3 linked regions of the Notamacropus eugenii genome follow. The protein of the gene in region 1 interacts with the protein of each later gene in a pairwise test. Links are inferred from orthologs where the notes say so. Each region holds a gene or a part of one and is shown in the gene's direction. Other genes may lie near its edges.

Region 1 (7,479 bases):
TTTGATTTACTGGAACCTTTAATTAACTAGAATTTTTTTTCCCTATGTCCCATTTGAGGAGATGGAGACATATAAGATAGTGTTCTTTAAAAAGTATCTTGCAGGATTTCTCCAAAGATCTGTGCATATTTATCCTTATAGCCTAGCCCTTCTGCACTTAATTTACAGTACTATACAACCAGTTCAGAATGATGGCTAGAGACATTGCAAAATCCTGAATCATTCAAGAGAGGATCAGTTCTTTTCAATATTAACACAGTCTGAAAAGATTTTTACTCTTTGTTTTACTGCCACATTTCTTTCTCATTCAGAGATTTAATCACGTAATTCTTCTGCTGGAAATCCTTGATTGGCTCCAGACTGCCTCCTAAATAAACATTAGACTCTTTAGCCTGAGTCCACAACCTAGTGGCACTTGGACTTCCCAGTTTTAGCTCATACTCTTTCCCTCCATATACTTCATTTCTGACAAATTAGACTTTACTTCCACTAAATGCTCGATGCTTTCCCATCCACCATGCCTTTGTTCACACTATTCCCTGCATCTTGAGTACCCAACCATTTTCTACCCTTTGAAGTCCTTCCCACACCTTAAAGCCTGAGTCAAATGGTACCTCCTACATGAAGCCTTCCATGATTCTCCCTATGATCTCACACGGAGCTGTCATGGTCCTCTTCGAAAACAAAGGACAAACACAACCTGAGTAGAATGAGCTGCCTGAATGGGGACCCAGTAAACTGAGTAACTCAGCTCCTCAGTTTGTCCTCTCCCTCTCCCTTTCGTTCTCCTCTCCAAAGGAAAGCAAATTTTGTTGCCCAGAAGCTGCCCAGTTAGCTTGGGGTTTACTGGCTAGATTTCTATCCAGCTTTCTTTCTTCCTTCCTTCCTTTCTTCCTTCCTTCCTTCCTTCCTTCCTTCCTTCCTTCCTTCCTTCCTTCCTTCCTTCCTTCCTTCCTTCTTTCCTTCCTTCCTTCCTTTCTTCTTTCTTCCTTCCTCCCTTCCTCCCTCCCTCCCTCTTTCTTTCTTCCTTCCTTCCTTCCTTCCTTCCTTCCTTCCTTCCTTCCTTCCTTCCTTCCTTCCTTCCTTCCTTCCTTTCTTTCTTTCTTCCTTCCTTCCTTCCTTCCTTCCTTCCTTCCTTCCTTCCTTCCTTCCTTTCTTTCTTTCTTTCTCTTTCTTTCTTTCTTTCTTTCTTTCTTTCTTTCTTTCTTTCTTTCTTTCTTTCTTTCTTTCTTTCTTGCTTTCTTTCTTGCTTTCTTGCTTTCCTTCCTTTCTTCCTTCCTTTCTTCCTTCCTTTCCTTCTTTACTTTTTTCTTTCCTTCTTTACTTTTTCTCTTTACTTCTTTCTCTCTCTTTCCTGCCTTCTTTCTTTTCTTCTCTCTCTCTCTTTCTTTCTCCCAGTTCACTCTGAAGCCCATAGATTGGACCACAAGAGATCCCTGCAGAAGCTCCACTTAACGGATGTTTTTTGGACCCTCTTGGCTTAGAGTGAATATCAATGGTAGTTGTTTCTGTTTGGAACAGTAACTCTCAGGTCTTGCCCTCCCAGCTTGATTTTTTTCCTAATGAAAGGGACCATGCCTTGACTACTTCTTAAAGAGGTCTGTTCATATAATGGGCATTACCTCACTGTGAGTACCTGAAAAGGTCTTAGGCTAAAAGGGTCAGGGTGTCCCGTTGCATCCTGGGTCATCTCCAGGCATCTGATGAATATCTGGTCACTGGATCCAGATGGCTCTGGAGGAGAAGTGAGGCTGGTGACCTGCACAGCCCTGCCTCACTCCAAACAAAGTCAAGTGCAAGTCATGTCATCATTTCTCTGATGTCGTGGTCCTCTTCCAAAACGAAGGACAAACACAACAGCAATAATAATCTCACATGGCATTTTGTACCACCCATAATTTTGTGTTATAATAAATTACATGCATCTTATCTTCCCTACTAAGCAATAGGAACTACATCCAATTTAGGAGAGCCTTTGCACACAGTAGGACATTAAAAATGTTTGTTGAATTTCAAATGAACAAAGGTCAAAATCAAAAGAAAAGTGAATTAAACAAAATACTGTAAGCATTCCGATTAAAATTTTACTGCACATAGGACTTTATATTTTAATTGAGAGACCATTCAATAATCAATCTTACGAATCAGTATTTTCCTAATTTTATGGAAACACAAAATTTTAAATGATTTTTTCCTAAGGTCACTAATGAAAAAACACACATAGTACCCTGCAGCTGGGCTTCATCACTTATGCATTTATTAGGAGGACCAAGGCTTAGCTTCTTCCTCTCATTCATTCTTACTCATAAAAATGTAAGAGCCTTCTCAGTTCTCTGCAGGTGGCAGCAAGAAACACAGTTTGGCCTTTTTAGCAGTTCTCATAGCATATCAGGACTGACTTAAGAGAGGCTAGCATCTGTAGGGCAAAGTAAACCTATTTGAGAAAGTGCTATATATTTTAACTTCTTGAGATTTCTTGAGATACTGGACTTTTCTTAAAAAGAAAAATAAAAGCTAACCCTACAGAAGGAAGATTGCTGTATACGAAAAAAAAAATCACTACCAACTAAAACTCCCATAAAGGAATAAGGGTATAACACTTTTGTGGTTTTTTACTAAAATAGCAATTACTAAAATAGTGTAATTCTGAATTAAATGAGATTTTTACCATTTAAAGGCATAATAAAGAAAAAATATGGACGCAAAAGTTTGTTTTGATGGCTTTTATTCTTTACTATCTTTCCAAACAGATTGTTTCCCTCTGATATCACTGCATGCTAGAGGGATAGAATCAAAGTTTGGGTGAAAATAGCAAAATACACAATCCGAGGCTGTGCACAGTGTGGAAAGAGGAGAAACATCATATCTTAGCGGGGAAACAGTTCAGATTCCATCATGAGCTGATTCTTTTAGGAGTACAGTCTAGAAAACCACTGATTCTCAACCTCATAGACCCAGTAATCAATAGATAGGGAGAGTTCACCCAGACTAAGATCAAGTTGTGGTTTGTCCTTCATTCTTGAAGAGCACCAAGTAGACCAATCCCAAAGACAAAGGGGTGGGTCACTCTTATTCCAACTCCTTTTCTGATTAAAAGGAGCTAATTTACAATTAGCAATAAATTTGAGAGGATTCTGAATCCTCAATAAAAAACAATTATTCTTGGTAATACCCTTATGGTACCCATGAGACCACCCTGAACCAATAATAAATGTAGCTGTTACTATGGTATACACACACGCGCGCACGCACACACACACACAAATATACGTATGTATGCATGCATACTGAGTATGTATGTATGCACTTAGTAGGCGACAGGTATGAACATAAAATATTGAATCTTCAAGATGTCACATATCAAAATCAATTAAAAATTCATAAAGCAATTATCAAACCCTTACACAGTACTAGGTGCTCAGATCACAAAGACAAAAACTAAATAGTTCACCCTCTCAAGGAGTTTATATTCTCCCAAAAACAATCCATTGCTTTAGAACATTACACTCTGAAGACCTGGACTTGCTTACACCTCCATATCTGCGCCAGATTGAAGGATATTCCTCTAAGTATAAACAGAATTTAACAAAAAACATGTTATCCTTATTACTTTTCTACAACCGCAAAGAGGTTCTAACGTATACAATTTCACTTTTGTTTCCTAAGATTTAAGTCCATGGACTAAAATACAGTATTTTCCTGCTCTGAAGGGACAGTTCCCAATTAAAATCAGGCATAACAACAAAGTGGGGTATTTCCTAACATCCAGTGAAATTTTTCTGTGCTCTATCTAGCTGGCCATTTAAAAATTATCAGTATTTTTTATACAAGAAAAGGAAGAAGCGAACCCAGAGAAAAGATAACTAATAGTAACGGAGCTTAGCAGGCAAATTTTCCAATTGGGGACATGATATAACGGAAAGAATACTGAGCAGGAGGGCTGAGTGAGGTTCTGTCATTACCGAGCTGGTTTGACCTCCTTCAGTTTAAGGCCAGAATTTCCTTAGGTAGAAAATGGCCTGAAAGTTCTCCCTGGGAGGAAGAAGGAGAAGGAGGAAGAGGAGGAGGAGGAGAAAGAACCGCATCTTCCGCCTGAAGGATTCCTCCTGGATCTCCTGGGGGACTGGGGGTGCAGAGAGGGGACAGTCCTTCCTAGGGTTCTAACAAACCTCCCAGGAGTGACAGGAGGGCTGTAGGGCTGTTGGACAGCGGCGGAAGGCTTCTCCCGAAGGGTTGGGAAGGGCTTGTACCCGCCGGCCTCTGACTGCCTTGCCCACTCCTTAGGGCTTCCCCGGCCCGCCGGCCGGGCAGGGTTCTCACCGAAGCCTTGGGGATGGGAGGTGGGGCCGGCTGCCCCATCCAGACCCAGACCGTCCGCGGCCCCACCCCTGCCCCGCCCCCTCCGGGTCCTCCCAGCTTCTCCCTGGCCCTGCCGACGTGGCGGAGCGGGGAAGGGCCAGGGGGCGCTCGGGGGACCAGCTCTGCCGGCTCGAGCGGTAAGGAGCCCAAAGCTCCCTTTTATTTCCTTTCTCTCTTTTCTTTCTCTCGGCCCCCGCGAGGAGGTCACTCGTCCCAACGCTCCAGGGCCTTTGCAGGAGCTTTGGTGCCTCGTCCCAGGCGCCCCGGGGCTGGGCACAGCAGGAGGGCCAGGGGGTGGGCTATCTGGTCAGTGTCAACAGAGGCTCTGGCGCCGAACCGGGCACGATCCTTTGCCATGTCTTACATGCCATTGGCATGGCATCAAGGGCAGGGAGATTGTCGCTGCGCTGCTCTCACCCCTCTGTGCCTAGCCGGGCAGCTAGGGTACCTGGGCAAGGACGGGGATGCTCCCAGTGTCGAGGCTCAGACTTTGGACAGAGGATAATTAAAGAAGGGAAGACTGGGGCAAAGGTGATGGCAGAGGCGCATTTCTTTCAGCTCCACACCCTCTCGGGAGCGGGAGTTTTGTGGGTGAATACCCAGGCAGAAGCACGCGCCCCGGATCTCCTTTGCCCACTAGTCTGCAGTGCCCATCCCAGCCTCTCTGGACCGCGCCATTCCAGACTCTCCATTGGAGCAGAGTTTGACAAAGTTCCCTGCTTCTAGCGCGCAGACGAGAAACAGGTGCTCGTAGAGTCAGAGAGACCTTCATTGCTGAAGCAGAGGAAAGGAGGAGAGGAGAAGAGGTGGGAGGAAAGGTTGAGTGGGCTGGGCTGCGGGCCAGGTTCGGGCTCGAGTGATCAGAGCTGGGGTCTTTTGTCTGCTTGCTGTCCCTCGCCTTGTAGTCTGCATCTCCCCATCAAATTTGCTCTGGGATCCGATGAGTATTTCCGGATGTCTTAGAGAAAGACTTTCTTTGGAACTAGTTATTTTCACTGGAAAGTCCCTCTCTGCCGGAAGTTTTGGTCAGGTAGGGCCTTCCTGCTGCCAACTCCCACTCTGTCCCTTCTCGAGGATACTGAAAACTGCTGAGGGTCTTCCGTGGAGAATATTCTTCTGGTCTGTCTCTTTCCCCCAACAGGGAATTCTCAACCAGTAATGCTGAGGGATGCAAACGGTGTGCGTATATGTCTGTGTGTATATACATAAGTATGGATGTATATGTATGTGAATATTATGCTACTCCTAGACAAAATTGTGGATTAGACAAACTTTGTTGTCAAAAATATACTGTCAGTATTTCCTTCCTACTTCGTAGATTTAGGACTGGAACAGACTTTAGAGATTATAAAGACCAACCATCTCATTTTGTACATACAAGGAAATTGAGGCTCAGAAATCATAAGTGACTTGACAAAGGTTCCAAAAGGTAGTAAGTGGCAGAATTGGGAATGTGAACCCAAGTCCATTGACTATAAATCTAGCACTTTCCATTGTATCCCGCTATTTTTCATCTGTTCTTGTCCTTCAGTGACCTTCCACTAAGTGCTCTCAACTCCCTTTCTTCTTTTAATACCTGCTCTTAGGAAAAGTTCTGATAAATTTGCTCATACTAAGGCAGGGGTTCTTAACCTGGGGCCTATAGACTTTTAAAAAGTTATGACTCTTTCAATATAATTAGTCTCCTTTGTTGTCTTATATATTTTATTATATAAATTTAAAAAAATAGCTCTGAGAAAGGTTCTGTCGGCTTCTCCAGATGCCAAAAAAGTACAATGACACAAAAAAATTAAGAAACCCTGTACTAAGGCATACATTTTAAGCCAAGGGAATGAATTTCTAATGGCACAATTTCAAGTATCAAGAAACAAATAGGAAAGTTATTATTTAAAAGGTGGAGCAGAGATTGGTGCTTTCCTGTTTGCCTTCTTATAAGGTCATCACTGTATCATTTGTTGCTTTACTGCAGTCACTGTCATCAAAAATACCTTGGTAAATTTTAACTGTGATTCTTTTGAAAGTGCCAGTATTTTTTAAATCATAATTAATGTAGCCTTAAAAAGTGTGTGTGTGTGTGTGTGTGTGTGTGTGTGTGAGTGTGTGTGCACATTACATTAGTCCTGGGAAGGGCTAAAGTAAAAATTGGTTGACAGGTTATTATCAGTTGCCTAGAACTGGTACTTTCTTGCCTGTGGGAAGTATATATGTAGCTGGCAGAGAGAGAGAAGGGATCAGGTAGCTTCTTCTCCTCTTACCCCTCTTCAGGTCCTAGTATATTGCTTACTTTAGCTTAAGTATACTGCTTACGTTTACTCTAGTGTGCTGCTTACTGTAGCAAATTTGGTTCTACAATTAGGAATTTCACTGATAAAATTGGGGGAGTACTAGCTAATACTAGTTGAGGGCCTTGGTACCAATCTGTATTAAAAAGACGTGAAAGAATTAGTCTTAACCCTTCCCCCTCTTCTTCCTCCACCGCCAATACCACCGCCACCACCCACCACCTCCCACTTTTTTTTAGTGTGGAATCTCTAGACTCTAGACCTTTTATTTCATCTGTATAGGGAACTCCCAGAGTAGAAATGGGGCAATTCTGTAAGTTACCGTCTTAGAAAATTTGGTAGGTCCCTGAGAATTTAAGTGGCCATAGTCACACAATAAGTGTGACTTCTGACACAATAAGTCACAAGACTTGAACTTAGGTGTTCTTGACACTAAAATGACCCGCTATCCACTATGCAATACTGTGTCTCTAACAATTTCTTTACCTAAAATCAATCAAAAACTGTTTATTAACTGCCTACTATGTTCCAGACTGTTCTAGGTACTAGAGATACAAAGTCAGAAATGAAACAATCTTGCCTCCAAAGAGTTGATGCTGAATTGAGGGAAACAATATTTGCATATACTTAAGTATATACGAAGTAAATAAAGGATAAGGACTGAACCTGTGATTTCATTGATACAGAGACCTCCTAGATAAGGCAACTTCCTCCTCCATCACAGGTAGGCACTTGGTCTATAATTATGGTGGTACAGAGTTTGCCTAGAGGGCTGATAGGTTAAGTAACTTGCCCAGAATTATGAAATAGTTATGTTCCAAATGTGGGATTTGAACCC
Region 2 (7,161 bases), on another chromosome or scaffold:
TGTCTTCTGCCTTTAGAAAAAAAATTACTGCAATTTCCAGTTCCTATCCCCAAACCTCAACACCTTGCAACAAAGGAAAATGCTTCTTCTTAGTGGCCCCAAATTACTCTGAAGAACTTAGCTTCCTTCAATATATAGCTACATGCTCATAAAGAGAGGCGAATACATTAATGGAGGCCAGAATAATACATATATTACAATGTAGAAACAGTTTTCAAATTTTTTCAGTCTTCTGAGAACTTTAGCTAGGGAAGAAAAGAATCTGACCCAAAAGGTCACCAAGAAATAGACAACAAGTAATAGAAAAAAAAAAAAACCATGACAAATATAATTTAATTTTTAAGAGAAACATAACTAAATGAAAGTTTAGTACTTGGGGTTTTTTGCTTTATCATAAACATCAGGACAAGTGAGTAGTCCTTAGACCACAAAGAAGCACCATAAAGACCGACCACACGTGCATTTGATGTAATCAGATTTTACCGATATGAAGGGAAATTAGTCGTAAAAATAAAAGAACATAAAAAAGTCAACTACATACCATAACAAATGGAGAGATTCACTCTAATCTTCCATTATTACTATTAAAGATCAGCAGAGTAAAAAGTAAAATCGAATTATAATGAATACAGGACATCAAAATTATTTTCTTTCACTGGAAATGTGCACTAACATGATTAAAAAAAAGCACTATTATTATGGTAAATCCATCAGGACACAGAAACAATTTAAAACACAACAGAGTCCTTCCTTACAGTGGCATCTTATTTGTATAGATAAAAACTATTAACTACTCCTGATAATCATTCAGTGAAACTATGTTCTAGAATATTGATTGCTTCTAAAATGGGAGACAGTGTACTTTCAATATTAAAAAAAAAATAACCAAACCCCCCACAAAATGTGTGGTCCATATGCTACACATCTAACAGCTTTTCTAGCTACAAGCTTATAGTGATGATCAATCTGTGCAATGACAAATGGTAAGGCTTTCTGGGGTGGGTAATACATATTGCAGACAAGGTTCTAACATCACCAAAAATGACTGCTTTTCTCCCAAAGGAGTATATTGTCTTTTTTCCCCCAAGCAGGAGAAGGGAAAGGAATAAGCACCTTTCTAATAGAGCCGACATTATCTCATTTGATCCTCCTAACAACCCTAAAAGGTAAAGTGGTGATATCATCCCCATTTTACAGTTGAGGAAACTGAGGCAGACGGTAAGTGACTTGCCTAGAGTTACAAAGCTAGTTACAAAGCTAGCTGAAGCCAGATTTGAATTAAGGTCTTTCTGACAGCCACTGTACCACCTAGCTGCCTCTAGAGGGGTCAAAAAACTGTAGAATGGCCCTAAATCTACAACATTCTTTATATAACATTATAATAATAGCTAACATTTATTTCTATAGCACTTTCCAGCTTTCCAAGCACTTGATTATAAATAAGAAGGGAACCACATATATTTGTTAGAATGAAGTTCCTTGAGGGCAGGGACAATTTTCTTTTAGTATATATCTCTAGTACTTAGTATAGTGACTGATACATGGTAGTATAATGGTTAGACTTAATTATATCAAATGAACAGACTCTGACTTGGAGTCAAAGAAGATCTAAGTTCAAATCCTGACTCAGTCGCTTAACAAGTCACTCAACCTCTCTCTACCAAAGTTTCTTAATCTATAACATGGAGATAATAGCCATCTACCTCACAGGATCATTGTGAAGATTAAATCACAATATACTTAAAGTGCTTTGCAAACTTTAAAGCATCCTAGTAATGTTCATCATCATTAGTAGTAGCGGTACTTGTTTATTGATTATTGACAGACAGATGTGATTCTTGATTATCCAAGAAAATAGAAGGAACAGAATCTAAAATAGCGAATAATCTAAGTCATTTATATCTGGGGTTAGAATGCCACTTTTGTAACCCCATTTAATAAATACTAGCCACATAATCATGGACAAGTCACTTAACCTTTTAATGTCCAAGGATGGGTTGCCTATCTGTATCAATGGAAGGAAGGTCCAAATCAGGAGCTTCTACACAGATGAACTCAAAACTCTGGACAAATTAGGGCTCCTCCATCTAGTATCCTACTTTGAAGTCTCACTGTAGAATGGGGGTGATCTTGGCTTTAAAAGGAACAAGTTCCAAATGGTCTCACTAAAAATGCAAAGAGTTTGACTTGTCTAAGGACCAATCCAGCTAATATAAAATAGTCTCATACTCACCAGATGATTGGCCAATAGATGATTAATTTTTTTAGCCACAGTAATTCAGTAAGCCATGTACTAAGCAATAGAGAGCTTATGGGCCACATGGTTGGCACATTCCCATAAATAAAATTATGGGATTTCGAAGTATTGCAGTATCTAAATACGGATGAGGATAATACTCTGGAGTTCACAACATTCCAAACAATTTAATGACGCTAAAAGCATGAGTCAAGGAGAAGCTGAAGATGAGAAAACACATTGGAATTCACAAAGAACCAATCTAAACGTGTTAAAGGTCTGGTTTTTGGCTTCCCTGAAGCCAGAAGAATCGGTCATTTAGCATCATGATCTTAAAAGGTCTTCCATTTAGGCTGGGTAGCTAAGGCTGAAGATTTATAGGGAATCTCAGTAGAAACAGAAGTCAATAGAAGAGCTGAAATCTAACAAGCAGCTGCCCAGTTTCCCAACCTAACGCTAAGGCTAAGAGTTAAAAGAAGCAACTGCAGATAAGCAGAATAACTCATTCATTGATAGCAAACTCAGCAGAACAGGTAGGATGGCCTGGGATGTTTGCTGCATTAAAAAAAAGACTGGGTCTTCCATTAAAAATAGTAAAAAATAAAAAAACCCAAGAAAGGCTTTCTGTCTTCTGAGATACCCAAGTCTGCTTCCCAAGATAGTGGCAGGAGCACGTGATCCACGATTCAAGTTAAGAACCTTAAGACTCTTCACAGCCATCCCTTCTGCTTCACAAAATACACTCTCATCACCTGGAGGGAAAGGCAGTGCGCCCCAGCACAAACGGACCGGCTCTGAACAGGCCCTTCAGGCTTGTATGGACGTGGAGACTAAACCACGCTGCTTCTTACAGTCACAACACCCTCCCCCCACAAAACCAAGCCAGGTCCAGCCGCTCCGACTACACTTTCCACCTCAGCTCTTCCACAAAACCTCCACCCTGAGGCTGCGTCGTCCGGTGGCTCCAACTGCCTCCCGCAAAACCTCTCGGGCCTCTCTCACTTCTTCCTTCCACTCGAGACCCTCCTGCGGCCTTTCCTCCTCCTCGGCCCGCCCTTCTAGGCTGCGCTGGGCTGTCCGAGAGCGCTTCCCCAGCCCCGGGTCCCCCCCGCCGCCCCCAAGGGCCTGGCGCCCTTCCACCCGCGTTGGCAACAATCTTGCTCACCTCGGCCCCCGACAGGAAGGGGTGCGAGGACCCTGTGATCGTCAGGTAATTGTCATTTCCTCCGGGAAACTGGAAACCAAAAGAAACCCGCGGGGATGTTAGGGGTGGGGGGGGCCGGGGAGTCAGGCTGGAGCGACGGGTTCTGACTCTGCCCCGACCCCCGCCGCCGCCTCCCCCGCTCCTCTCGCCCGTCGGCCGCTTCTCCGCCCAGGCCCCTTCCTCTGCTCCTCTCCCTCTCGCCTCTTTTCTTTCTTTCTTTCTCTCTCTCTCTCTCTCTCTCTCTCCCTCCCGCCTCCTTCGGGCTCAGGATCCTACCTCCATCTTCAACACAACCGCTACCACCGCTTCAGCTCCCTCATAGCGCCCACCGCCCCCGCCGGAAACGGAACACGCGTCACTTCCGCCGACACTCGCGGCTCCCTCCGAGGATTGGAGGATTCTTTGGCAGAAGCGGTGAGTTTGCAGCAGGGAGGCGACTGAGCGGAAATGAGGAGCTGGGCAGCGCCCCCTTCGGCCGGAGGCCAGAATGCCCGCTGGAGGCTCAGAGGCTTCGAGGGAGGAAGTGTCAAGTTACAGCCACACATGACGACTGAACTGCTCCTGAGGAGAGCACTAGAGACGTGATCTCGGGCTAGAGGGACCGGATGGGGAAGTAGAGATATCGCTAGGTCGCGTGGCTAGAGAGGCCGGAGGTGGGTGGCCAGAGAAGTCGGGAGGACCAGCGGTCGGGACCATGACTTACGCTTATCTCTTCAAGTACATCATCATCGGGGACACAGGTACTCGGCCAGCGGGGCCATCCGCTAAACTGAGACTGGGCTCGCAAGCCCAAGGTGGCACCAGGGGAGGGCGGGGCTCGTTGGGGAGGCGGGGCCACCCGGAGGGGCGCTGTCGGGGGCGGGGCCAGGATGGGGGCGGGGCGGGGCGGGGCTGAAGGAGCTCTGGCCCCTTTGCGACACGGGGGGAGCCGACGCCAGCCACACCTGGTGCCTTCCTCTGGGCTGCCCTGCCCACCTCCTCTCTCGGGAGGATGGACCTGAGTCCCCACGTCCTCTTTCAGGTGTGGGCAAGTCATGTCTCCTTCTGCAGTTTACAGACAAGCGGTTCCAGCCTGTCCACGACCTCACCATAGGTAAGGACTTTGTGCCACCCTAAGGAAAGTGGGTGAGAAGTGTGAAGTTAAAAGTTAGCAGCCATGGGCTTCCACTTTTAAGTAGCCAAAAGTTGTGTTAATAAATGGAGAGAAAATGGCGAAGGCAGATTCGTCTCATGGAAAGAGCATGAATTGGGGGTAAATAGATTTGACTAGCTTAGGAAAGTCATTTCATGTCTCTAGAGCTCAGGGTCTCCCTCCATAAAATCAGAGCAGTAACTAAGAGCCCTTCCAGCTTTGAATTCTGTGAGTCTGTGAAAGAGTGCTGTCAAGTGATTGTCAAGTTGGAGACAATAAAAATAACTGACAAAGAAACCAAAGAGTAGCTGCAGTCTGGGTGACCTCGGGCAGCTTGCTTCTCCGTAAGCTTCAGTATCCTCATCTGTAAAATAAAAGGAGTATCCTTCCAGCTTTAATATGTTGTAACGACAAGAGAAAAATTGATTGGTTGGTTTGTGAGTTGTGAAAGAGCTTAGTGAATTCCCGAGTGGCAATATTTGTCATTTTCAGATGCAATGCCTTTTTGCAGGGGTTTAAGAGAAAAATTGTTACTGGTAGTGGCAGAGAAGGAACAAAGAGATTAAGTATATATGGCTAGTGATAAGAAAAATTATGGTACGGTAACAGCTTCATTACAGTAATAAAAGAGAGGTAAAATTTTTAGCTTCCATCATATGGAGAAAAGCCTGTGCATAAGAGGAAAGAAGCAAAAGTTTCTAGGAATGTAACTAGCAGTTCTGAGAAGCATTTTCTCTTAGAAAACCTGCTTGATCAAGAAGTCACCAGACATATGGGGTTCATAAAAAAAGACAGGGATTTTGTAGCACCAGGGAAATTAGCATTTTGTCCAAATTCTGGCATGGAATTTATGTTCCTTCTGGCCTTTTGCCATCACACAAAGAAGTTGGACAAGTAGTTGTGCACAGGAGCCCAAGTGTCTTTAAGATCATGTTTATGGAAAAGTGCAAGTGAGGATAGACATTTTCTTATCCTTATGCCTACTGAAATTGTTCTGTGACTATCCGAGAAATAAAGAAAATTTTTTTCAAGAAAAGTTACTATATTCTGGATGAAGGAATTTGGAGATTAGTTTGCTTTCAACCAGAATCAATTCTTGTGGCCTCATTGACTACAACTAGCCCTCCTTGAGACTTCTTAACTTAATTATGAACACCATCAAAAGTACTATTGGCTAAGTCAGTATTTTACTGCTAGCTAAGATAAAACTACTTTTTCCTTAAAATTTTTGCCTCCATGCTATATGAAATGACAAAGTTTAGAGTGAAAGGAGGAGACAATACATATTTTGTTATCAAATATGTTTAATAGCAGTACCTTTTGTTTTCTGGCTCAGACCTGGCATTAACAGTCTAATAAGGGAATGTAAGTTCCTAATGCAGAAACTTACTCATCCTAGGCATTTTAGTTCTTAAGAAACTATATTACTTGGGAAGATGCACTATATTATGTCTTTCAAATAGATCCTAGGGTTGTAATAGGTGGTGACATTGGTAGAATGCTGGTCCTGAGGTCAGGAAGACTTGAGTTCAAGTCAAGCCTCAGACACTTACTAGTTGTGTGACCCTGAGCAAATCACTTAACCTCTGCCTCAGTTTCCTCAACTGTAAAATGAGGATAATAATAGTAGGATCATTGTGAGGATCAAATGAGATAATATTTGTAAAGTTCCTGGAGTATAATATGCAATTAATAAATGCATATTTCCCTCTTTATAATAAATAATTATGGTTCCATAAAGAAGACTAGAGAATGAGTACATCAGGGAAAGTTAGTATTGAAGATTTTAAACCTTGCAACTTATATTTTAAAAAGAAGCTATAAAGTTTATTACAACTTATTTTTACAATGGTCAACATTTGAGAAGCAGCGTGGCATAGTGGATAAAGAGCTAGCCTTGGAGCTTAGAAGGGTGGGTTTCAAGTCCTAATTCTGATACATGCTAGCTAACTATGTGACCATGAGCAGGTTCCCCAGGAAACCCTCTTAAAATTTACCTGGCTATGGTACAGGCAAATTGTCAGTCTGCATAAGTGGGAGAGTTTCTATATCAGTAGTTCTCTGATAAAATCACAATACCCCTCCCCCCCACAAAAACCATCCAAATTAGTTAAATGGTGCAAAATGCAACCAAGTTTAAGAAACTAGCCAATTTCCACATTGACTTGCTACTTTTACCTTGAGGTGATTATTAGCAGAAGCATAGTTACATAAATCCAGGTGAGGAAAAAGAATGATAGACCCTGAGATGCAATGGAGCAAGTGTTTAGACAACTGCCAGGAGGATGGCTACGCTTGGAGCAGACACAGGAAGTGGAACCTGAAACATGGGGGCCAGAACCTTGACTCGTCATTGAACATGACAGTCATTGATGGCATCGTTATATTCTGTGTTCTTCATCGACAGGTGTGGAGTTTGGGGCCCGTATGGTCAACATTGATGGCAAACAAATCAAACTGCAAATCTGGGACACGGTGAGAGAGAACAGAAGAGCTCATCCCCTTCCAATAGCTAAGCTTATGTGGAAAGGGGAAGAGGTGGGGTGGGGTATTTTGAGTTGAAACAGAAGAAGAATGAAGTTAAAGAGA
Region 3 (7,556 bases), on another chromosome or scaffold:
GCTTTAAAAAGCAGAATTAGCCAAATAGAAAAGGTTCAAAAGGTCACTGAAAAAAATAGTTCTTTAAAAATTAGAATGGAGCAAATGGAAATTAATGACTGTATGAGAAACCAAGAAATTATAAAATTTTATCTTTTCTTCTTTCCTTATGCTTCCACTGCCCCCTTATTTTTGTTCAATGCTCCCCAATTGCACCCAAGGCTTCTTTGGCCCCCTGGATCATTCCAACATCCCCCATGGGGCAGTATCACCCACTTTGGGAACCTACGTAAGAGAGTGATAGAGGAAATAAAGTGCTGGAGAGGAAAAAAAACCTGAAAAATTTTAAATAATGAATTTTAAAGGATGCACAAAATATTTGCTATGAGATATTTACTGTTACTCATGCTTTTAGTTTCCAAAAATATTTTCTAAAGACTATGCAATAAAAACATTGCTATTTATGAATACTGTAGATAAGCAGTATGATGCAACTTTTCAAGAGTAAAACTATATTGAATTAAAAGGTAATTTAATAAGGTCCCTCTTGTTTATTTGCTCTCTGGAATAGTTGTTCTTTCTTCATTCTTGAAGATGATCATTGATATCAACAAAGTAATGTCTTGACTTTCCTGTGAATTACTTTTAAGTAAAATTCTCCCCTCAGAGTCATGGAAGTCTATAAGGTTAATGTAAGGTTAATGGTGGGTGGATGGGAAGAGTTAAAGATCTTCCTCACCCATTGATAGGCCTCAGATACCTTTGAGGAACTGGGTCACAAGGGTCATGCCCTCCAGTCCTGCAAAGGTTATATATATATATATATAACTCTGAGGTGAGGTTTTGCTTTTGGGGTTATTTTTTTGGAAGAAGGTTTGAGTGTCAGATGAGATTCTGGGTAGCTACTAAGGAGACCCCTGGCTTTGAAAACCCAGATATTGGTGCTTCCCCGTCTGATATCTATGTATGTATTGTCTATGGTCAGACAGTTGGAAGCCCTGCCTGTTGGTCTTTCTGTTTGTAATTTCTATTTGTATTTTCTCTAAATTTCAGGGTGTTGACTTTTCCCCCTTACCTAAGTGAATGATATATGTGTTTGATTAAAATTGATTGCTGACCCCTCAAAAGTTGCGTTCCTTTTAGAAAACCAGACCTAAGAACCTGTGCAGCAGGCCTTCCTGTGTATGCTAGGGTCCCTGCTGTTACGAAGTTCAGTAGCAAGATGAAAGTCAAGATGACTGACCATGGCCCTAGATGTGGTGGGTAACCTTGGCCTTTCTAAATTAAGGTCTTTCCCAGGTCCCAGTTTGTCTGAGGCAAAGCATTTTCAATGACTAAAGACTAGATAAAAATTGAGAGAAAAGATGACCTAATTTACCATCACAAAGATATCTGTCTGAGAGGGCATAGTAGTTATGTTCTTGTCTTAATGTGTAATTACTGTTTGAATGAACTAAACTTTTTTCTATTTTTTATTTAAATTATTTTATTTGTTTTCAATGTTCTATAATCATTTCCATATATCTTAGATTTTTTCCCCTCCTTCCCCTCTCCTTTCCCACTCCCTCCCTGATCTGACATACAATTTCATATTTATATTCCCATTAAATACATTTTCATCTTAATCATGTTGCATAGAAGAATTAAAATGAATGGGAGAAATCATTAAACAAAACAAAACATAATACAAAAGAAAATTGCTTCATTTTGCCATCCAATTCCATAGTTCTTTCTTGGGATCTGGAAAGTATTTTGCCTCAAGGGTCCATTGGGAATTTTTTAAGTCTTTTTATTGCAATGAGGTACTAAGTCTACTAGAAAAATTCCTTGCACACTGTGGTTGTTGCTGTGTACAAAGTTCTCCTGGTTCTGCTCCTTTCACTCAACATCAGTTCATATAGGTCCTTTCAGGCCTTTCTGAAGTCTTCCTGTTCATCATTTCTTATAGCACAATAGTATTCCATTACATTCATATACCACAATTTATTCAGCCATTCCCCAATTGATGGGCATCTTCTTGATTTCCAATTTTTGGCTACCACAAAGAGAGCTGCTATAAATATTTTTGTACATGTGGGACCCTTTCCCATTTTCATGATCTCTTGGGGATAGAGTCCTAGAAGTGGTATTGCTAAGTCAAAGGGTATGCACATTTTTGTAGCCCTTTGGGCATAGTTCCAAATTGCTCTCCAGAATGGCTGGATGGGCTCAAAGCTCCACCAACAACGAATTAGTGTTCCAACTCTCCCACATCTTCTCCAACATTTATCATCTTCCTGTTTTGTCATGTTAGCCAACCTGATAGGTGTAATATGGTACCTCAGAGTTGTTTTGATTTGCATCTCTCTAATCAATAGTGATTTAGAGCATTTTTTCATATGACTATAGATAGCTTTAATTTCTTCTTCTGAAAACTGCCTGTTCATATTCTTCAACCATTTATCAATTGGAGAATGACATATTCTTGTACATTTGACTCAGTTCTCTATATATTTTAGAAATGAGGCCTTTATCACAGATACTAGTTGCAAAAATTCTTTTCCAGTTTTCTGCTTCCCTCCTTATCTGCACTGGGTTTGTTTGTGCAAGAACTTTTCAATTTAATGTAATCAAAATTATCCATTTTGCACTTCATAATGTTTTCTATCTCTTGTTTAGTCAAAAATTGTTCCCTTCTCCATAAGTTTGATAAATATACTATTCCTTGCTCCACTAATTTATTTATACTGTCAGTCTTTATACCTAGATCATGTACTCATTTGGACTTTATTTTTGTGTACAGCATCAGGCATTGGTCTATGCCCTATCTCAGTATTCCCAGCAATTTTTGTTGAACAATGAGTTCTTATCCCAGAAGCTGGGGTACTTGGGTTTATCAAAAAATAGACTGCTGTATTCATTGACTACTGTGTCTTGAGTACCTAACCTATTCCACTGGTCTCTGCTGACTGAACTAAATTTTAATATCTCAAAACATGTTAATTTTGTGAGCAAGGTTACACAAAACACATTTTAATGTTCCTAAGGCAATTTTAAATCTATAAGACTCTCCATTTCAGTTTGACATATATGCAGGGTATTGAGGATTAAAAAGAGAAATCAACAGTTACTGCCCTTACAGAATTTCTATTCAGTTAAGATTACAATATGTACAGATATAAGTACACAGGAAGGAGAGATTACTTGAATATACAAGGGATGAGTAAAATTTTGCTCCAATATAAGGTGGTACCTATATTTAGTCTCAAATGAAGTAAGGGAACATAAGAGTTAGGAAGTGAATTCATTCTAAGCATGAAGGGCAATCTATAAGAGGGCAGACTACAGATGGAATGCCCAGATCTGGTTAAAGAACAGGTATTAGGAATGAAGACTATATGAGAGGAAGTGAAAAGGCAGATAGGACCTAGATTGTGATAGGCTTTAAGTGGGTAGCCTGACTTTATATATAGAAGCCAGGTTAGTCTTTGGGGTGCTCTCCTAGAAATCAATTTGTGAAGTAATGAGGATCTGACAATGGCGGTTGGGTGGGAGTTGTACCAGTGGAAAGTAGGGTATAATATGGGAGAGGTGGAATAAATAAGACCTGGCAACTGATGAAATGTGGAGGAGGGTAAGGGAATGGGCACAATTAAGGATACTTCTGAGGTTAGTAACCTGGGTAACAGCGTGGACCCCAGGAGAAATAATACAAACTGAAAGAAAGGAACAAGATTGACAAGATAAAGGATTCCTTTTCAGAGAATAATAGCTAACATTCCTATGGCGCTTTAAGGTTTGCAAAGCATCTTCCATATCTTAATTTCTTACCAGTCAGTATTCCAGAATCTATTCTTTTCCAGAAATCTCTTTTCCTGGAAGATCATGGCAACCCCAGAATCCCCACACTGAAAATATCCTCTACCTCTGTGGCCCTTCCCTGTGATTGGGTAAGAACAACTCTGTATTCCCTTCTCCTCTGGCTACCCCCTGCCCTCTCCCCAAACTTGGCTACCTGGACCTTCCTCCCCTTGATCTCTCCCTCCCCTTTCTGCTGCCTTTTATTTGTTGTCTGGCTCCCATTAGGATGTAAGCCCCCTGAGGGCAAAGGCTGGTTCTTCTCCACGCCTAGTTTTTGGACATTCCAGCTTTGGCATCCGATCTGGCACATGGTAACATGTAGCAATATCACACCGCTTGTCCATTGACAAGCGTAGAGCCTGACAGGCGCCTTCAGGGACCTCCGGATGAAGATGCCTAGCTGGCAGGTAGTGTCAGGGAACTGGTGCTCTGGAGATGGTAAGGATTTCTTTTTCACATTTTTCAACTGTTTTCCAAATGACCATTTGTTTCCTCCAACTATCACCAGAAAAGGTCTCAGACGTAGGTTTTGGGTTTTCCCCCCCACGAGCGCAGGGAACGCCCACCCACCTCGGAGCACGAACCGCCCGGCACGTCTGGTGTGCGCGTGCGCGAGACGCGCCCCTCCTCCAGTCCCCGCCCCCTCCCCCTCCGCCCGCTGTTCTTTCCAATCTGGGCTTGGCCGCACCCACTCCCTCCCTTCAGCTCCGCTCAGGGCCCCGCCCTCCGTAGCAGGGGGCGGGGGAACGGGCGGGGGAACGGGCGGGGGAGGGCGATCCTCCGGCGATCCGCCTCCGTTCCTCCGACTGCCGGCTCAGCGGCTGCTCTTCCGGGTCGAGGTCGGAGGGGGCTGGGCTGGGCAGCGAGGCTCATCTCGCCTCTGCCGGCGTCGTGTTGGCGTTTTCTCGGTTCCCTCGGCTTGCCGACTCCGCGCCGTCGCTGCCGCCGAGCTCCTCTTCTGGGCGGGCACGCCGGCGTCTGAGATCTTGATCAGGGCCGGGGTGAGGAGCCGCGGCTCGGGGGAGGAGGCGGAGGAGGAGCCGTGTGCCGGGGGCACGGAGCGGCCGCGGCCATGGCGTACGCCTATCTCTTCAAATACATCATCATCGGCGACACAGGTGAGTCGCCCGGCGACGGGTGGGCTGCGGCCCCCGGAGCCCCCCGTGCCGCGGGGCCGAGCGCGATTGGCGGCGGGTGCTTCCCTCCCCCGCCTCCGGCCTCTCCTCCACCCTTTCCCCTCCTCCCGCCGCGGCTCCATTTCCGCAGTGCTGGAGCCGGTGACGTGGGCACTGCGAGCGGCCTCTGCGGCCTGGCCTGCCGGGCCCCCGCCCAGCCCGGGCCCAGCCGCTCCAGGCCTCGGGCTCCGGGACGGCCACGTGTGACCCCCCGAGACCGCTGCCGCGGAGGGTTGGGCCAGGCCTGGAGCTCCCACCCACCCTCCCGCAGCCCCTCCCCCGGCCTGCGGGCAGGTAGAGGGGCCGGGCCGGGCCGGGAGGCTGTTGGCTGCTTGCGTATTTTTTACTTGGAAATCATCTTTCGTGACTTTAATGATGATGTCCCGGCTGCTACTGCAGTTCCTAGGCCGGGAAGGCTTTGGGCTTGCCTCCCCGAACAGGGAGTGCGATAACCTTTTACATCTCGCTTAAGGCAACAATGGTTTTGGCCTTAGAACCCTGGGAAAAAACCTTGTGAGGTCACCAGAGTGTCAAACTGGATCCTGAAGATCTTTCCTGATTGCTGACAAGTTACTGCAAACAGTTGCTATTGCCAGTTCTACAACTGTTTTGTTTTTACTTTTTGTATATCAATCCTATTAATGTGTTACAGGGATACTAGGATTTAGGAAATACACCATATCTTAGGTAATTAAGCCAGTTGTAGGGTTTTTTTTTTAAGTTTTTACATATCAATCCTATTAATGTGTAACATTGAAATACTAGGATTTGGGAAATATACCATGTTTTAGCTTTCTAAGCTAAATCCTAACTCACCGACTCCATAAAATTCCATTGGCTCCCTATCACCGGTAGGATCAAATAGAAAATCGTCTCTCTCTTGTTCAAAGCCCGTCCTAACCTGCCTGATCACCTACCTCTCTAGTTTTCTTACACCTTACTCTCTACTCCCCCACCCCCATACTCTGCTGTCTAGTGACACTGGCCTCCTTGAACAAAACACTTCATCTCCTGACCCTAGGTATTTTCACTGGCTGTCTCTTGGCTTGAATTCTCTCCCTTCTAGTCTTTGTCCCTTGGCTTCAAGTTCCATTTAAAATCTCACCTACAGGAAGTCTTTTCTGATCATCTTAATAGTCTTGCATGAATTCTTTCTGCATAAGATTTTGTTTGTATGTAGATTAGACTGAGCTCCTGGAGAGCAGAAACTAGGTCTTTTGTTTTTGCTTTCCTTTTATCCCTCATACCTAACACATAGGTGCTTAATATATGTTTGTTGACTGCTAAGTCCGTACTCTCTGTAAGGTGGTGTTGTCGTATTACCAAAGAAAAAGTTTCTACCCTTAAGGAACTTAGGTTCTCTTGGGTTAATCCAGGAGGTAATTTATGGGAGACCAGGCTTCCTTTTGAAGCAGCTAGAAACTTAAATGTTCTTAAAATTGTACCCCAGGATGTTAGATTTATTGTATCTGAAATCAGTTCACTTAATACTTTTTGTTTTGGTATACTGCTTTGAATCTAATAATAAAACAGCCTCATTCAGGTGTTAGTTAACTTGGTGTCACAACTTCAACTATTAATATACAAGAGTCTGATTTCATTGGTGACTCTTGCACAACTTTGGATATATTCTTGCAGTTGCCCCAAAGATGTGGCAGTACTTAATAGTACATTCACAAAAATCCCTTAATTGAATGACAAGAGACACTAAAACACTGGTAGAATCCGCATGTTCTTAAGGGATATGGGAAATAAATTGTTTTCAAGATAGTATGCTAGATAATTCAGTTTCCTGGACTTTTTATTTGGTAATACATACAAATTTCTAAATTTGCTATGGTACACCTGAGCATGAGAGGGGGTGGAGCTTAGACTGTTAGTCAAAGATAGTCTGTCCTAGTGGAAAGGGATAGGAACTGGGAATATGAGAAGTCTTTGAAAATAACATATTTTAGATAACCAAGTAATGAAAGTAAGGCAGTAAAGAGAGATGGCCACGTGGTTGCCTTTGGAGAAAAGGATCTGTCATTAGATGTTGTGGGTGGAATTTATCCAAAGCAGCCCCCAAGCATCCTGTTTATTCCCACCAAAATGTTTTCCTTTTTCTTGGTCATTTAGCTACTAAAGTCATGTGATTTTCATAAGGCACAGGTCTCATTGTGTCACTCTTTGAATCAGTAAACCTCAGTGGTCACCTTAAACTATATTTGACTTTTAAAGCCCTTCACAACCCTGGCCCTACGGACCTTTTGAACCTTGTTTGTGCATTATTCCCTTTTGAGCACCCTACAGTTCACCAAGATTCTGCAATCTCACTTCTTTGCCTTTCTTTGCATGGGCTGTGGGTGCCTCTGCCTGGAATGAACTCTCTCTCCCCACTGTAACCTCTTAGGATTCCTTGTTTTTTTTCAAACTGCCACTAAATGCCACCTTTTCTGAATGAGACCTTTTCCTGATTGGCTCCAGTGCTTCCCTTTTTTCCTATCATTACTTTGTGTGTATGTAGCATAAAAAACTAGTGCAGATATCACCTCTGACATTCTTTGTGGATGACCCTAAAAA

What was found.
Region 2: the proteins of FAM114A1 (region 1) and RAB2B interact in binary tests that used the Homo sapiens proteins (3 or more experiments, as listed by UniProt). The two-hybrid records come from large-scale screens. The link is inferred for Notamacropus eugenii from reciprocal best matches to the Homo sapiens genes FAM114A1 and RAB2B.
Region 3: the proteins of FAM114A1 (region 1) and RAB2A interact in binary tests that used the Homo sapiens proteins (3 or more experiments, as listed by UniProt). The two-hybrid records come from large-scale screens. The link is inferred for Notamacropus eugenii from reciprocal best matches to the Homo sapiens genes FAM114A1 and RAB2A.

What each region holds. Positions count from the first base shown.
Region 1 is NC_092877.1:92,839,967-92,847,445, forward strand, and holds the start of FAM114A1 (protein NOXP20), read left to right. Parts: upstream 1-4,392; 5' UTR 4,393-4,496; intron 4,497-7,173; exon of another isoform or gene 7,174-7,365; intron 7,366-7,479. UniProt on the Homo sapiens protein: May play a role in neuronal cell development.
Region 2 is NC_092878.1:12,451,993-12,459,153, forward strand, and holds the start of RAB2B (ras-related protein Rab-2B), read left to right. Parts: upstream 1-4,065; 5' UTR 4,066-4,134; coding exon 4,135-4,180; intron 4,181-4,461; coding exon 4,462-4,533; intron 4,534-6,979; coding exon 6,980-7,047; intron 7,048-7,161. Other genes in the region: TOX4 (TOX high mobility group box family member 4), read right to left, coding at 3,402-3,470, 3,717-3,722. UniProt on the Homo sapiens protein: The small GTPases Rab are key regulators of intracellular membrane trafficking, from the formation of transport vesicles to their fusion with membranes. Rabs cycle between active GTP-bound and inactive GDP-bound states.
Region 3 is NC_092875.1:279,689,314-279,696,869, forward strand, and holds the start of RAB2A (ras-related protein Rab-2A), read left to right. Parts: upstream 1-4,479; 5' UTR 4,480-4,891; coding exon 4,892-4,937; intron 4,938-7,556.